3 linked regions of the Schizosaccharomyces pombe genome follow. The protein of the gene in region 3 interacts with the protein of the main gene of each other region in a pairwise test. Each region holds a gene or a part of one and is shown on either strand. Other genes may lie near its edges.

Region 1 (5,646 bases), 420 kb from region 3:
AATGGATTAGATTTTGATTTGTTGCTTTATAATGCTAATTCTAATGAAGAGTATGATGATGACACTTTTATAATTCCTCGTTCTACTTCTGTCATTGTCCGTCGAGTACCTGCACAAAAATCCGGAAAAGGAACTGCTGCTCGCTATGTCAGTGGCGCTCCTAAGACAACCGGTGCTCGATCTGATTCTGTCAAACGACCTGTCCCAATGCTTCAGAAAAAGGCACCCATTACATCCGGTGAATCAAATATTAATAAAAGTCCTTCATCCTCCGAAGACGCAGCAATTCAGCAAATGTTTCAAGTGTCAAGCGATCAATGGCGTGAAACTCAGGATAAAATGGCTTCTGCTACCCCTATTTATAAACCCAATCAACGCCGTATTGCTGCTTCTGTTCCGGACAAACCACCTCCCCCTGGATATATTTGTTATAGATGCGGTCAGAAAGGACACTGGATTCAAGCATGCCCTACCAACGCTGATCCTAATTACGATGGAAAACCAAGGGTAAAACGAACTACCGGAATACCTCGATCTTTTTTGAAAAACGTTGAAAGGCCTGCTGAAGGCGACGCTGCTAATATTATGATAAATGCTGAAGGAGATTATGTTGTAGTACAACCAGACGTAGCGTCTTGGGAAACATATCAATCTCGTAAAGCAGCTTTAACTGCGAATGACGTGTATAAAATGCAGCCTCCGAACATTTCTTTGGCATGTACATTATGTAAGAAATTAGCAAGAAATGCTTGCAGAACACCTTGTTGTGATAAACTTTTTTGTGAAGAGTGTATTCAAACGGCTCTTTTAGATTCGGATTTTGAATGTCCAAATTGCCATCGAAAAGATGTTTTGTTGGATACTTTAAACCCCGATTACCAAAAACAGAGGGAAATTGAGGCAGTCGTCAAATCTGTACTCGGTTCTAATAGCAAAAACAGTGATAAGGTTGGTACTTCTGACGATAACAATACACCAATGTCTGAAAAGCGCAAGCGTGAAGATGACGATGCAAATGGACCTAACAAATTTGCGGCAAGATCTTCTGCTGTGTTTTCCAAAGCCACCGCTGAACCAGCTTTTAAGTCAGCTATGGCCATCCCAGATATGCCATCAATGCCTCATGTCCAAGGGTTTCCGGCTCCTTTTCCCCCTTTTATGATGCCAGGCTTACCTCAAATGCCGCCTATGATGATGAATGCAATTGCTGGCCAAGTATATCATAATAATCGAAATCCACCTCGTACAAACTCTCGTCCTTCAAATGCGTCTGTTCCCCCACCATCCTCGCTACATAAGAATCCCCCTACTAAAACAAATTAGTTATTACTTATTTCTGATTTTCTTGTAAACTTGCGTTTACTGTTTACGTTGTTGAAAGTCCTTTTTTCAGCTATAATAGGGACAGTTACACATATTCATTCAAAAATTTTTATACTAATACATTCAATTAATACAATCTAATTTATGGAGCGTTTTTTTAATATGAGAGTAAATTCATATCTATTGACTTTTGAATTACTTCGAAGTGGATTTAAAAGTATTTAGTATCATATTTACATCAAAAAATGGATTGCTAACGGATTTGATGCTCAGCAAATTACTGCTGACGCTGATCAGGTGCCTTAACAAAAATTGTAATCTAAGAAATTAAAAATACTCAGAAAGTCATATTATATAAATCAGTAGTAATGTATTTTTTTTTATTTATTTGCAATATTGCAATAAATTTTTCAAAAAGCTTGTAGTAATAATAATAGAGAACAAACAATTCTTAGACTAAAGTTTCCGAGTAGAAGGATCAAGGATTCAGTACTCCTTAATTTTACAAAAGAATATTTATAAAAATAAGCTAATTTTCTAAATCAATTGACATTACAATTCGCCGATCAAATGTTTTATCAGAGAATATTATAAAATCAAAATATTTAGCTAAGCGAAATTTAAATGTATTTTCAATGCTAACAACACGTATTCAGATAATCTATTTATAGGCTTCTCGAAATGTTCCTATTATATAAAACAGCTTAGTTTACCTAAGTTTTACTTTATTTATTAACACATAATTTCAGCTTTCGTAAAGGAATTAATTATACTCAACATTTTGTTAGACATACTATAGTACGCTATGATACAGTACGTAGAGAATCACTATATATCATGTGTCCTAATTATTCATCGTACCACGTATGATACGATATTGAAATTGATTTTAATGATAGTCTATTAAGACCTATATCATTTAAATACTATTAATAGAGTTACTGATAAACTTCGTTCGTCAGTTCAGTTATAAGCTATGTTAGTGATAGTAACGCTATAAGTTGGATAGTATAATATCTATACTTAGTTGCTACTTATATTACCTTTATATCGCAATTTAATAGATCGCAAGAAAACCTCACCGCAATTCAGCGTATCGTTAATATGGATATTAAACTGCGTAGCTGACACAGTTTATGATTTTATAGTAGTGCGTTAAAATATTTTAATGAACCAGATTGAGAAGTTAGCATTTAGCATTTTGATATTAGACAAACAGTGAATAAAGGGTACACCATAGCTATCATCTACAGTAGTCCTTTGAAACTTTTTCACTTGAATCCAAAAAATTATTGATTACATCCTATGTTGATTAGAAAACCATATACATTGATCTGTCCTTGATACAGTGAGTGGGCACTAAACGATTCTATAAAATCAAAAAGCGAAGGGTTTGCATTAATATATTTCTTAAAATAGAATGAACAATTCCATTACGGATTCGGTAGAAAAAAAACCTGAACAGGTTAGTTTTGAAGTTCAACCCAATGCCCTTCGTCCGGTTGCTTTCCACGTATTTACCAGGAAGTACGATCTCAATATTAATCGTGACTCACTGCAGGAATTAGCATCTTTCGTATCTAAAAAATGCGGCTCACAATGGCGTTCCCAATGTGAGCCCTTACTAGACGAAATTGCAAAAACTTGGAAACGAGTTCATGAAACTCAACCTATAGTTACTCGACCTCTTTTGATCCCTGTCTTGGCAAATTTAAATGTTCCGCATGAAGTTCGCGTATCTTCCTTAGCAAGAGTTCAAACGCTTGAGACAACCGGTTCATTTTTAAATTCGAGTAATTCGGAAATCCGTGAAACTATAAAAAATGAGAAATACTTTAGAGTCCTTGATGCTTTTAAAATGCCTAAATTTAAGTACGATTCATCAAGAAAGGTTTTCGTTTTATCAAAACAGTCTCCTACTTTAATGGCATCTGCAAGTGCCTGCACAGATATGCTTAACCGCAGATTCAATGTTGTATATAGCCGTATTTTACGCAATGAATCTTTTCAAACACCTTCTTTCAGTGGCTCTTTCTCTCAAACAGGTACATATCAATTAACTCCTATTCGCAATTTATTAGGTCGAGCTGGAAACACATTTTTGTTGTTCGGACTCTTGACTATAGCTCCCGATGGTACCTTATGGCTGGAAGATCTTGACAGTCAAGTTCAACTAGACGTATCACAGGCAGAACAAGGGTTCGGTCTCTTTTGCCCTGGCTGCTTGGTACTTGTTAATGGTCAATTTCTAAGTTCTGGGCTATTTTTAGTTTTTGAGCTTGGTCATCCTCCCATTGAACGCCGTGATGCTTCCTTGAAGGCCCTTAATAATTTAGATATTTTGGGGTTGAATATGGATGCAAAGCAACTTGCTCTTCTCCGTCACGCGGAACAGGCATATCAGTCACAAGCTTTTGTTTGTATCAGCGAGGTTCATCTTGACAACCATCAAACTTTCTATGCATTAGAAAAAATATTCCAAAAATATGAATCCTCTGAAGCTGTGCCGTTTTGTATAATATTATGTGGAAGTTTTATGTCTTCCGCTTTCCATAATTCAGGAAGCTCAATTCAATATAAAGAAGGATTTAATAAGCTTGCAGCTTCTCTTGAGAAGTTTCCAAAAATTTGCGAAAAGACAAAATTCATATTTGTCCCCGGTCCAAACGACCCTTGGACGACAAATGGGATATCCTTAATGCCTAAGCATTCAATACCCCTTCATTTCGTAAATCGGATCCAACGCGTTTGTAAGCATACCATTTTCGCTTCAAACCCTTGCCGCATCATTTTCTTTTCTCAGGAAGTACTAATTTATAGAGACGATATATCAGGAAGATTTCAAAGGAATTCATTAAAGTTTGGGAAGACTCCCCAAGGTACCTCCAATATTAATTCTATACCCCTTGCAGAACAACAAGTGCATCAGCAAAGAAAAGTAAGCAAGTTTCTTATAATTTTTTTATGCTAATTTGTTTAGTTGGTTAAAACAGTTTTAGATCAGTCTCACCTTTCACCGTTTCCATCGAGAACACGACCAATATTGTGGGATTTTGATTATGCTTTATCAGTTTTCCCGCTTCCTAGCTGTGTACGTTATAAATCTTTTTTTTCTTTGCTAATATTTTTAGATGGGTCTAATAGATTCTGAGTCGTCGGCGTTTGATGTTCATTATGGAGGTTGCCCAACTTTTAATCCCGGTGCTCTTTTACTTGGCGTTCACTATAATTGGCAAGAAGTATTTCCAGTAAAAAAAGAAATAATTACACACAAGGAGAGAATTTAGGACTCAAATCTTTTCCTCATGTAACTGTATAATAATTGCTTAAAAAAGGCATTTCATTCATTAACATGTTAACGATTTTTAAGTTTGTTACATTTTACTGAGCCCCGAATAATAGAACGTTTATGTTAATTAAAAGATAAATCCAAGTAAGATTTCTCGTAAATTAGTAAACATTAATCAAATTAAACTATAAAATTAAGATTAAGGGTTAGTAGGAATAATTAAAAAAATATAGAAAACTCCCTACTAGAAAACAACATTTGTAAAATTCAATATCACTGCTGCGTACAACAACTTCCATGGAGGCAATCAATAGGTGCTATTAGCCTTTAAAAGAGTTGACCGAGTACACAGCATCAAAATACAGAACAACAGTTAATTTTTCCAAAAGGAGCACATAAACGATAAGGCATTAACATAATTCAAAAGGGCATAATAACAAAAGGTTAGCAAACGCTTTACAAGGCCTGACTTCATAATCAAAGAGCCGTATAAGTTGTATCTCACTTCTTATAACAACGGTTGGACTGCATAATGAAAATATACCAGAGATAGCACAACAAAACAAGCAAAGAAAAATGAAATCCATAATCTTTTATGGAGCAAGTTTCTAAGCATTTTCGTAGTAACATCACCACTTTCCTGACCAGACCTTCTACTTGTTCGAAAGGGCTCCTGAGAAGTGGAGGATAATTTTTTGTTAAGTAACGGTGACTTTGAGGTTGTAGGATTGATTTGCAAAGGCGATGTTGCCAAACCTCTAGCAGTGGTAGGACTATTACATCTAGTGTCACTACTTCCAACCATGCTGGAAAATTTTGCAGACCGTTTGGGAATCAACTTGCGACTATTACTAAGTGGGCCTCCGTTGAGCGCGTTAGTGCCTGCCGATCCATAATAAGGCACATGATTTATAGTTGGCAGCATTTCTAAGGGAAGGTTGTATGTTTGAAAAGAGTGAATGGATGCTGAAGGAGAATGTAATTCATCATCATTGGTAGGGATTAGGTTTTCGTAAACAAAATTTTCTGATTCT
Region 2 (6,154 bases), 200 kb from region 3:
AGCCTAGACTGGCAACACATACTGAGCCCTGTTTCAACAATTTCGCAAATAGAATCATCACTCAAAACAGCTTTTCCAGGACCTCTTAACAATTCTTCCATTAGCCTAGAAACTCGCAACAATACAGCCTCATCCTGTGAAGCATCGAAGCTCTCAAAACGGCATTGAGTAATAGCAAACGATAGATTACGCATTGACAGTGCTAAATTGGGTGATTCTTCAGAAATGATTCGAAAAGAAAAGAATTTGAGTATAGCTGATAAACATAAGCTAGTTATATAACCTGTCATTCGTGGGGACTTGATTGTCCTCAAAAACGGAGAGAGAAGCTTTAAACTATCGTATCCATTTAAGCTAGCACGGTTCGTCAAATCTTCTTTTAACTGTGAAAACTCCATAACCAATGGATATCGGATACTACTGCTTTTTTCGCCATTTGTTTTCCATCGGCTTTCTAAACCATCAGCCAGAAATTCGTCTTTAAGTGTTGAGACTCCTAAAATGGATGCAACACCAGAATTCCTCCATCTCGTGGTTTTTCTAATTGCCGTCACGACAGTTATAATTTCATTGATCACCAAGGAGGACGGTGAAATCGAACATAACGGCTCTTGGTTAGGAGATGCGCGAGGCACTTCCATAGCCCTTCTGTAGCTACTAATCAAGAGTCTTTATAAAAAGTAACTTGAGGTGTTTACTATTGTAAATAGCGTAGAGGTTTAGTCCTGAACAGTCTCACCCTTCCTTTGGTGTTGAACGGATTTCAGCAGATATGCTTCAACATATTAACATTGCTTAACGTATCACTATACTAATTTACCTGGGTTATATGTTTGAAATAAACATAGATTAATCTGATAAATGTCTAGATCAGGAAAATGAGTATATATTTTTCGGTAGGATCCAATAGTATTATCAAATTTAGTGAATAAAAGTACAAAAAAAGAGTGTAAAGATTAAAATAACAAATCAGGGTTTCTACGGTATGCAGTGAGGAAAAAAAAAATACACCAATTTCGTGAATTAAAGTAGTGCTTCAACAATTAATGTCAGGTCTGTTTCAAAAATACGCCTCACTGATAAAACTTATAAGAGATCGTTACGAATCTTTTATAACCTTAGTTCGGAACATCGCCATTGCTCAGTAGAGCATCAATGTCACAGTTAGGGTGTATTGAAAATACGCGTTCTTCAAAAGGAAGCCTCACGGCGCTGTCAGTTAAATTTTGAATTTCCATGATGATCGATTCGTGAACAAGCCTGGTTAATACCTTACGCACAAGACCAACCTCATAGATGATGTCTTCCTCGGTATGGAATTGGTCTTCCCTAAGCTCGAGATATGACTGAACTAGGTCTCCCGCTGGTACTCCATCTACACCTTCAGTAGAGCGCTGGCGTAAAACCTGTAATATTCCGTTCATAATCGAAACATATTTGTCGTAAGTAATTTTTACTTTTGGTTTCTGCAAAGCTTCTTCCGAAGAAACATTATCATTGCCATTTGTTGTATTAGTATTATCATTCTCAAGTTCTTGGGCCTCTGCATCATCTTCTTCAACCTCAATATCATCTCTTTCCACATGGATAATTGATTGACGTAATAAAGAGTATGCTTCGTTGACAAATGCAGGAGTAATATCATCTACACAGTTTGCTCTTGCAATGGCTTCTGATAGACGAATCATTGACTCCAGTTGTCGCACGGTAATACGATATGAATTTTTACCAGCACCTTGCGCGTCATCCATCCGCAATTGCTTGTACTTTTTAACAATTTCGGCACAAGATTCTGTATTTAACTTTGGTTTGAAAGTCCTTGCATATCTGATATATCGTTGAAGTTGCTCAGTACTAAATTCAGGTTGCATGGCATCATCCCGTAAACGATGAATGTCAACAATATGCTTAGCTAAATGTCTATCAACTGATTCATTGCACTCATCTAGTACAACGAAGAATAAATCAAACCGTGACATGATAGGAGCAGACATATTGATGTTATTCCGCAAAGTTGTTTTTCGGTTATAGCGGCCACCTATTGGATTTGCAGCAGCAAGGATAGATGTCCGTGCGTTTAATGTAGCTTGAATTCCAGCTTTTGCTATAGATATCGTTTGTTGTTCCATTGCTTCATGAATAGCAACTTGGTCTGACAGATCCATTTTATCGAATTCATCTATAGCACATATTCCATTGTCAGCCAACATTAAAGCGCCTGCTTCTATAGTAAAATCCCCAGTTTCTTCGTCCTTAACAACTGCAGCTGTGAGACCGGCCGCAGATGATGCCTTTCCAGAAGTGTAGATTGCACGAGGAAGAAAATTGCAAACGTATTTAAGAAATTGTGATTTCGAAGTACTGGGGTCGCCGACAATACAAATGTTCAGGTCGCCACGAAGATTTATACCTTCAGGAGTTAACTTGTGAACACCACCCATTAACTGTAAAAGAATCCCCTTCTTAATTATTTCATGACCATAAACAGAGGGAGCCAGTGAGTTTGTCAAACGAGAATAAATATGATCTGAATGCACCATCGCACGTAAATCATCAATTTCTTCTTGAGAAAGCGATTGCAAAAATTCATCTTGCTCTTCGATCCCTTGAGAACCATCCCCTCTGACATCCGCACCGCTTTTATCATTTGCATCATCTGGTTGAACCATGCAAGCTAAAAAAGATAGTTTATATGTAAGATCACGTACACCTAAAGACTTCAGTCCTGTCACACCATCTGCATCTCTACCACCAAAATTGCGAGAATCTCGATAAGCTTCTGGCTTTACACCAGGAATTCCTAGCTGTGAGACATCTGGAACGGCAATAAGAATTCCCGTAAATGCGCATTTGTCACCAGCCTTAGCCCTTTCAACAATATCTCCGCGCAAAATTACGTCCAAAGTTCGTGGCATAGAACCCGTAGGAATCTCGTTGCTATTTTCTTGAATGCGCACCTTTTGCCAGTCCTGAAAAGAAGACTGTGAAATATTGAGCCGCCAACTTCTTTTATTAGCACAAAGTTCATTAGGGCATTGAGTTGGTTCAGTATAGCGAAATGCTTGCTCAACATTTGAAACTACAGTGTGGCATTCCTCACAGATAAAAGTACCTTGTGCTAATTCAGGGCGTACTTCAGAAGTACGAGTAACTGTACCTGTAATAGTCGTGAGTCTACCGATACGATCTGTTCGTAAGTCCCGAATTGTGGATCGAAAGGGTAAATTGTAAAATGCAAGAGCAAATGTTTTGTCACTGGCTTTAAAGTTCGGTGAAAGTGAAGCATTTTCACGAGAAAGAGAACTTCTATAATATTCTGGTTCAAACTTTTCAATCAACTTTTGTAAAGCTCGAAGTAAGAAAGGAGAAAATCGATAATATTGCTCAACTATCGCAAGAGCTAACACATCATTGTACGAGGTTAAATGCTTATAATCAACGTAAACGGTATGAATCTCATACATTGCCAATCCATGAATCTGTTGAACATAATATTTCTCTTGTGATGCAGAAGGGAGAGCATCACCTCCAGCAACGCGGTCATCAGAAAATGACAATAAAAACTCTTCAAAGGCTTCACGTACTGATTCTCCGGTTGTATCAATTACCTTTGGTATGGCTTCTCCTATAGCAGCAAAAGGTTTCCTTTTCACCATTCCATCATCCTCGAGCATAGCACTCGACTCAGGTTGTGAAGGCATACTTACAGTTGGCCTGTCCCCAACTTCTGAAGTTTGAAACCCATAACGATATGCAGGAGTTGAAGCATTATTACCCTGAGATGCAAGAGAAGACATCTTCAAGTGTAGTGCTCCCTATTATCAAAAAACTGCAACTACAGGTTTTTGGTCAAAGGATAGCAATGTTTATTTTGAAACGTTTATTTCTGTGGTTGCTTTGGTGCGCTAGAAATCGCAATTTAGAATTGCAAATTACAGTATTATACCTTATTCGTTTCAATTAACAATATGTGTTAAAAAAACCCAGTCTGAACATTATACCACATATTCCAATATATACTATGGTAAGAAAAAAATTCTTGAATTATCTCTATTCTATGCTTCTTTCATTTATTAACGATTGTAGGCAGACAGGTTGCGCTCTCAAGCAAAACTAGAACAGTTACAAGCGCGTTATGTTGGTGTCGGTAATGCGTTTACCACCAAATAGTAAGTACTAATCGGTTTATTTGACAAATGAATTTTCGCTCACCATATAAACTAGTGAATGGATGGTAAATCAGCACCGGGATACTTTGTCTTCTGTAGTGGGGCATCCACCGTTGCTCGCATATATGGCAACGGCGCTCGGCGAACCGAGAGTCCAAGTTCGCAAAAACCTATTAGAAAAAATGATCATGCCATGTGGACCACCTCCCCCTTCTAATCAATTTTAAAGTGTTGTGTTTACCTGTTGCCCAAAATTAATGTCGTTAAACCTTCGCTCGTCTGAGACTTTGTTTGTTTAAGATAAACAGTACCTACTAGGTTATTACAAAATAATATATATATATATATATATATATATATATTAATTGAATTATATGCAATGCTACATTGATTATTGTTCATTGTAACAACGCAAGACATTCCCTAGTCGTTACCTTCAAAGTAACACGAATAAGTTTTAGCTATTTATCTCATTTACTACGAAAGCCTCCTTTGGAGTAGTTTACTTAAATTGGCTATATGTTGAATATTTTCATGCAAACTCTGTAACAATAAATACATTATATGTTGCATGAGATTATTTTGTTGCTCGCAGGGAATACTTCTGGCCTGTTTATTGAGAAAAATGGTCAAATACTACTGCATCCATCTGTTCAACCATTACACCCTGGTGAACGAGAATTAATTAATGACATAGTATCTTTGGCAAGTAAAAGGAAAAGGATAGAACGATATATTGAAATTTTTGATGAAGATTTGATTCAGCAAAACCAGTTTCTTCTTAAAGCTCTTAGACTTCTGCTTTCGAAAAAATTATTTCTTTATGATGAAAGTCTAGCTAATTTAGAGCGGATGATTATATCCAGCGATCCTTATTTTGTAGGTTCCGGAAAATTCGTATCCTTGGCGCAATTAGAAGCGCATTTAGCAGATTGGAAAGAAACTTTATCTAGTCTGCTAGTACTTCAAGGTAATATTTCTCAATGCTTGAGTGTAGCTTCTACGTTTCAAAAGCTGCATAATATGTATATGGGCTCTACTCATTTGAATTTTAAAAAGCTGGTTTTAGAGTGTGAATGTGCTTTTCAGAAGACTTGGCTTGACGAATTAGTGCAGTATTTGGTAAATGATTCCGGCGATGACAGCTTCAAATGTTCGTTTTTATGCGGTGATACTAAAGATTTTGTATCTTGTAGCAATAATGTCCCTTTTTTGACCCAAGACATCGTTAATTGCTTAGTTTCAATACGAACGTGTATGCTCAATGCAAAAAAATGTTTCACAGACGCTTTCTGTGAAATTCTTAGATGTTTCTACAGACTGGTATATGAAATGCCTTTGCCTTTAACGAAATCTTCAGTGACAAAATTAGCAGATGAAATGTTCACTCTGGTATCAGAAAAAATAATATTTCAATTAGCTTCGTTTCATCAGATTTTCGATTTGGTAAAAATGCTAGAGATGGTGATGTTACTTGAAAATGTTGAGTTTCTTCCAACATTATCTGAAATGTTCAGAGACGTTCGTGGTGAATATTGCAGTTCAAATGACGTTCAAGGGGTAGTAATTGATGATATTTTACCCGTTGTTTTAAGGAAAACTATTTCTTTACTTGATCTCGCTACTGAATATGGAGAATGTGTATCTTTTCTAAAACTTGTAAGTATCTTTGATGAAGAAGATGAAATGATTCGCTCTGAGAATCGTAAAATCGATGTAGAGGGACTCAATATGCAACTGTTATTGTGTTTAAAATGGCCGTTCAATTTGTTTATGGATAAAAATGCTTTAAATGTGTATTCCGATTTATGGATACTACTAGGTTCTTTACACTTAAGTATAACTAAAATCAAATCCCTTTTTTACGAAAGAAAGGAGTATACTGCCAAAGGTATTTCTCAACCATGGACTCAATTGTGGGTGACTTTATGGTTCTTATCATCTTTACAATATTATGCCTACGAATGTGTTATAAAGCCGTCATA
Region 3 (5,648 bases):
ACAATTTCTATTTTTTAATTATACAAACAATTTCCTATTCTGAATCTAAATGTAACAGTTGTATCGCATTTGGCATTTCTTTTTTGTAATCCAGCAACCGAAAATTCAATCAAATCAATGTGACCATGGCGAATTGGATATAAAATAACAAAGATTAAGGTGGAAACTTCAACTTTATCAGCGACTATCATTATAGTCAACAAGTAGACAAACTAATAATATAAAGACTAACAAGTCTTGGGGGTATAAACTAATAATACATATGTCTTGCCTCATTTAAAAATGGTAAAAGCAAGGAACCGTTCACGGCTTATATCGATAAACATTCTAAAGCAGGGGAACCAATGTGTTGAAACTGGTAATAAAAAGAGGGATGGGGGTGGTAAAAGAATTCCAATAATCGAAATTCCTTAGAAAAATAAAAATAAAATCCATGTCTTAACAATTACATCAAGAAGAGTAAAAAAAAAAGAAAAGCGAAAATAACGAATTAAAAAAGATTGCATTGTTAGATTGTTTAATGCTTTTATCGAATAAGATAAAACATTCAATTTTCCAATTTTTTGTTTTCCCTTTTTATTATTTTCTTCTGATCATAACGGAAATCGGGTTTTCTTCTTGTATACAATATTCGGGTTTAAGCGCTTACTTCCCAATCAAATGCACCCTTTCTTTGCTCAGCTCCCCAATTAGGAGAGTTCAAGTCATCTCTGACAGTTTGAACGTAAAAGGAAAGAGGTTGCTCTTGGTCGTTACAGCTCATAGCCGACTCAGAGTTAATGCCGATATCGGTGGTTTGATCAGCAACATTGGATGCGGTAAAAGACCAACCATTCTTAGTACCGTCAACACGGGAAGCAACACTAGTAGAGAAGGAAAATCTTGAAGCCGTTGCCTTTAAAGAGGTAGCGGCTAAAAGAGACTTGGAGATGACACCTTGTTTAAGAATAGAAAACATAGCGATGAATCAAAAATGTTTATTGATGAAATTAAAAAGAAAAGAAAATAACAGTGATTAAATAGAAATGTGTAGAATAGAAGTATCACCGTTCGCAGATTTAATTATCGAGACGTCAGCGAAGAAAGAAAAAAAAAATTTTCTTAACTAATTAAACCAACGAATAAAAAATTTTTTTTCTGAAGATGACCGTGTTGATCAAACCAATATTCTTTATTGTTCACTAAAAAGAATATCAAAAGAAGTATTTAGTAGTAGCTAAAATGTATTAACTTTTTACTTTAGAATGTCTCGCAATTGACTTTGATTAGACACTGTTTAGGTGGGACGCAACAATTGTTGGATGGCGAGGTCTCTTAGATGGAAGCCCGCATTTATATAGTTTTAGACTATTTATTTGCCTTTTCCTTTGTGACGAATTCAGATAGCTTTCCTTACTGATAAGAATGCGATACCCGTTCCATACGGCGCAACGTTAAAATAGGCGACTAGCAGTGTAAAGTCCGATACCTAGACGAAAGCAATCGTAAGCTAAAGGTGTCGACAGTACCTCAGTTTGGCTGGCTATCTTAGTATTGCTTACAAGCCCATCATACCATATGAAAGTAAGCTTACGTTCGTTTGATTAATAAACAATGTGATGTCAAAAGCTGTAACGGCCGTTCTTGTATGAGAGAGAAGCTAGCAGAACAAAAAAGGGAGACTTCGCACATTGAATTCAAACAGTTGACATCACAAATGAAAAGAGCGACTGTGTTTAATAAGCGTTTCAAATATTCCATTGGGATTTACTAAGGATTAGGATTTAGAAGAAAGGTTTAACAAAGGGTTGAAAGTTTCATGATAGCAAAGTGTGTCGCATGTAAACAAAAGAACATTCATTTGAAATCATAGCTATATCCATTAGCTAGCTAATTAATTAGTAAGTTGGTTAGTAATTTAAATAATTAATTTTCATCATAATGTATAGAAAAACAACGTAAAATTCAGGGAACTATTTCTAAGTCATCCTCATCATCACTCTCAGTAAATTCATATCGGAATTTGATATTTTTTAGGGAGCCGGATCGTGAAAGTCCAGTCGCTGTGGAGTGCGTTGTAGATGCATCTGCGGAATGCGTTGGATCGAAACCTATTTTTCGTAGACTTTGGGGGGAAAAAATCCTCGGCGAAGAGGTAAACACTACCGCTGGGGAAACTTTGGTGGATGTAGTATCTTGTGGAACGGGTGTCCCTGATGCCGCATCGTTAGTGCCGAGAATAGCAGAGTTAGAAAAAGATGGTAGAGAGGATTTAGGGTTCATTATAGATGCATTAAAAGAGGCCAGAACGGATGGTTTTTTCGTCGATGAATCAATTTCGCTATCTTTAGAAAGAGCAGTGGGATTACCCTTGTCATGTAAATTTTTAACGCCGGAACCTTGTAAATTTAGATACTGATGGCCGAGTGTTCGCATCGACATTCCCGTAGAGAGGTTATTCGAGTTAGAGCTAGACGAAGAGGAAGCGCAACATCGCTTCGATAATCGCACCAAAATTTCACGCTCGCGTTCAGCCTGCGCTCGTTGTTTTTTGTATCGTTCCTTGCGCTCCCTCTCGGTCTGAACGGCGTCTTCTGCATCATACAAACCAGCTACTGCGTTAGGAATTGCGGAATACTTTTCCCCAGCAAAGTATCCTTGGAACCCTTGTCCACGAAATCGCTTTTCACGTCGTGCGCGAGGCTCGTGCATAGTCGCCATACTTGAAGCAAACTCCGTTCGCGTAGACATGGACCGCTGGACAGCGAGGTCAACGTGATATTCACATACATCTCCGGCACGCTTGTCGAGCCAATGTTTACATAGTTCACCGCTTTTTCTTCGGCTGGAACAATAGCCAAGGTGTTTGGAGCGACCAATCTCTAAAAGTACATCGTACTCAGAATCCAGCTTCAGAGAAAAGCGTCCAATGTCTGGGTTCTTTGGCTTTAGTACTTCAGGATTGAGAAGCGCAATGACAGTACCACTCTGGATCTTCCAGTATCGTTCAAACGCCTTTCCAAACAGGAAGCACTCCAGTTGCCATTTCAAGTCAGTCAGTGTTAGCATACAATATTTATTCCCATTCACAGTTTCTCTGGTTCCACTATTACTGGCAACAATGCCCATAACTACATAGTTGTCAACTTCTGGCGCTTCAAATTTAGGAGCTCTTACTAGTTTGAGTAGTTGGTGAATGAGATAAACTTGATTTCCCCCTATATTTTCCTTAGCAACCTCATCACTTATGTATCGAATAACAATGGCTTGTCTTGAATAAGGATCGATTTCATCACATTTCATAGGAAATTTCTCCTCTTCACTTTTTCCATCTTCAAGTATGTTTCGCTTCCTCTGGAACGATTGCTTTCTATTTTTTTTCATCGTTTTCAATTTATCGCTCCTCTTCCTTTCTTGGTTCCTTGCCTCTGCAAGTCGTTCGTGAAATGGTTTTGGTAGAGGCCCTCGAGGCCCTTTTCCTAATGAAACATCTTTCCCCGTCTTTCCTTTATCGATTCCTAATATCAATCGCTTGGGACTTTTTAGTTTACTAGGCGAGCTGACTGTAAGGACACGAACTTGCTGAGGAGGAGATCTTGGAACCTGAATAACTTCAGCGTTCTCCGAAGAAGCCTCCTTTTGAGCACTTCGTAGACGCTTCTTTTCTTGAATTTCATTTAGCTGCCTCTGTAACCTCTTTTCTTCCAGGTCCAAGTCATTTTCTTCTGCAATGAAGGGATCATGCATACTTGCATTAATTAAACTTGGTTTCCTCTTAATCTTAAACCTCCAAAGTCAATGATAAAAAAAACCCCCCGCCTGTTAGATATAGTCAATTTCTCACGAATACTGAAACTTTTCAACCCAACCCTAGAAAACTAGCTTTTCAGGAAATTAAAAAAACTCTGATCAATAAAATTTTCTTCTCTATTGTATGAGTAGCCAAAACAAATAACAGGATAAATTTAATACTGCCACATTTGTATTTTGAAATGCGAAGATATTGTTGAAAAGTTTAGTGCCAAAAACAGGAAATTCTTTAGTCCTGGAAAAGGAAGCAAGTAATAATTATAAATCTTTTTAACAAGATATTCTTATTTTCCAATACTTAAAAATCGCGGTTAAACATATAGGAATGTAAACAGTTAGCGGACATCTAAAGGACATGTGTTTAAGGATGCAAAATGTAGTGCATAAACAAGCATAATGTGCAAAATTAAATCCTCTCTATACTACACATGCTATAGGTAAACAACATAACTGCAGTTTGAATAATAAAAGGTTAAAATAGATGCGCTAATTTAATGAGTATACACGTTCGATATCACGAATTCATTTACATAATATAAACTTACGATATTTGTCTATATAGAATCATAAAAGATGTGTCTACAGTATTCAAATGCATATAGTAACTTATTTAAAAGGGGTATTTTGAACAGTTAAATTTTAAACGTCGAACTTTTTTTTACATTTGGTGGAAGAGATTGCCTAGTTTCCGTTGTCTATTCAAATTTGCGCTTAATATTAAAATCTTTGTGACAACAGTTGGCCAGTTCTTTTGAAACCAACTTATGAAGAAAAATCATATAACGAAATTTCCAGTATTGTATAAAAAAAGCCTGTAATCCCACATAATATTTGGTTGATCATATTCGAAATTGTCGTTTCAATGAAGTTTAGTCCTTTCTGAATGCTCAGTATGTAGTTTCGTTTAAATGAATCACCGGGACTCACAGTGTTATAAGTTATCATAAGCTATCAATTTAATGGACATCAATACTTGTTTAAATGAAGCAATTCCTGGTCTGATTGCTTCACCTTCTAAAATCGGGTACCCAGACCATTCATTTGTTTATCCCTAATTAAAAATTAAGGGGATCATGTTTTGATACCACTAATAACCATCAGCTGTAATTTTACCTCATACAGCTTCTCTCCGTTAGCTAAATCTAAGGTTTTAGCGTCTTTTGACTGGGTTGACCGTTGATACTTAGCTTCATCGACCCACACATTTGCCTGAGCTTTACCAATGACTTCAGCGTTTGACAAAGATGCATTTTTGAATAAATTCAAAATTGATTGCGGAGTAAATCCACCATGATGAGCTACGCCAAGCTTAGCTATTTCATCAGGATGCAAATTACCATGAAAAGTATCACCCCCCTTTATTAAATCTGCGACAAATAATCGACCATTAGGTTTTAAAAGTTTAGAAAGCTTATTAGTCACTTCCTGTAGGTCCTTGATATGATGATATGCCATGGAGCATACAACAGCATCAAATTCAGTAGAAAATGGTTCATCGCCGTTGCCATCCAAATCATCCAAACTTAAAACATATGCACAGGCTCTTTCTTTGGGAATGTTCATCTTTCTAAATTTTTCATTATAAACGTCCACCATGTCTTGGGAAACGTCTATGCCAACAATTTGTTTACAGTAAGGGAACAGGTGTTGGCTAATTAAACCAGTTCCACAAGCAAAATCCAATATACTCATACCACTTTTCTTCCAAAAATTATTTACATTTGTCAAATCATCATCCGAAGTTAAAAGCAGCCTATCTTGATCATATTTTGGGAGATCATGTCTTAGGCTGGTTTCGGAATTGTCTTCAAACTGTAAAATTTTTGAAGAAATCACTTTGGAAATCGCCAAGGTACTTG

What was found.
Region 1: the proteins of cdc23 (region 3) and dpb2 interact in a two-hybrid assay, tested with the Schizosaccharomyces pombe proteins (2 studies listed by BioGRID).
Region 2: the proteins of cdc23 (region 3) and mcm6 interact in a two-hybrid assay, tested with the Schizosaccharomyces pombe proteins (4 studies listed by BioGRID, with this or other methods).

Annotation. Positions count from the first base shown.
Region 1 is NC_003423.3:3,655,850-3,661,495, reverse strand, and holds dpb2 (DNA polymerase epsilon catalytic subunit B Dpb2), read left to right. Parts: upstream 1-2,565; 5' UTR 2,566-2,743; coding exon 2,744-4,261; intron 4,262-4,303; coding exon 4,304-4,414; intron 4,415-4,454; coding exon 4,455-4,610; 3' UTR 4,611-4,748; downstream 4,749-5,646. Other genes in the region: mpe1 (RBBP6 family ubiquitin-protein ligase E3), read left to right, coding at 1-1,323; protein vac7, read right to left, coding at 5,121-5,646. UniProt on the Schizosaccharomyces pombe protein: As accessory component of the DNA polymerase epsilon (DNA polymerase II) participates in chromosomal DNA replication.
Region 2 is NC_003423.3:3,879,200-3,885,353, forward strand, and holds mcm6 (MCM complex subunit Mcm6), read right to left. Parts: upstream 3,859-6,154; 5' UTR 3,798-3,858; coding exon 1,119-3,797; 3' UTR 899-1,118; downstream 1-898. Other genes in the region: gea1 (guanyl-nucleotide exchange factor), read right to left, coding at 1-641; sap10 (splicing factor 3B), read left to right, coding at 4,022-4,024, 4,087-4,169, 4,225-4,396; gamma tubulin complex GCP4 subunit Gfh1, read left to right, coding at 4,734-6,154. UniProt on the Schizosaccharomyces pombe protein: Acts as a component of the mcm2-7 complex (mcm complex) which is the putative replicative helicase essential for 'once per cell cycle' DNA replication initiation and elongation in eukaryotic cells.
Region 3 is NC_003423.3:4,077,517-4,083,164, reverse strand, and holds cdc23 (MCM-associated protein Mcm10), read right to left. Parts: upstream 4,109-5,648; 5' UTR 3,727-4,108; coding exon 1,945-3,726; 3' UTR 1,601-1,944; downstream 1-1,600. Other genes in the region: SPOM_SPBC1347.14C (uncharacterized protein), read left to right, coding at 521-886; protein sro1, read right to left, coding at 638-958; SPOM_SPBC1347.09 (hexaprenyldihydroxybenzoate methyltransferase), read right to left, coding at 4,861-5,648. UniProt on the Schizosaccharomyces pombe protein: Required for DNA synthesis. Required for entry into or completion of S phase. Involved in DNA replication and seems to participate in the activation of the pre-replication complex (pre-RC) and in transcription elongation.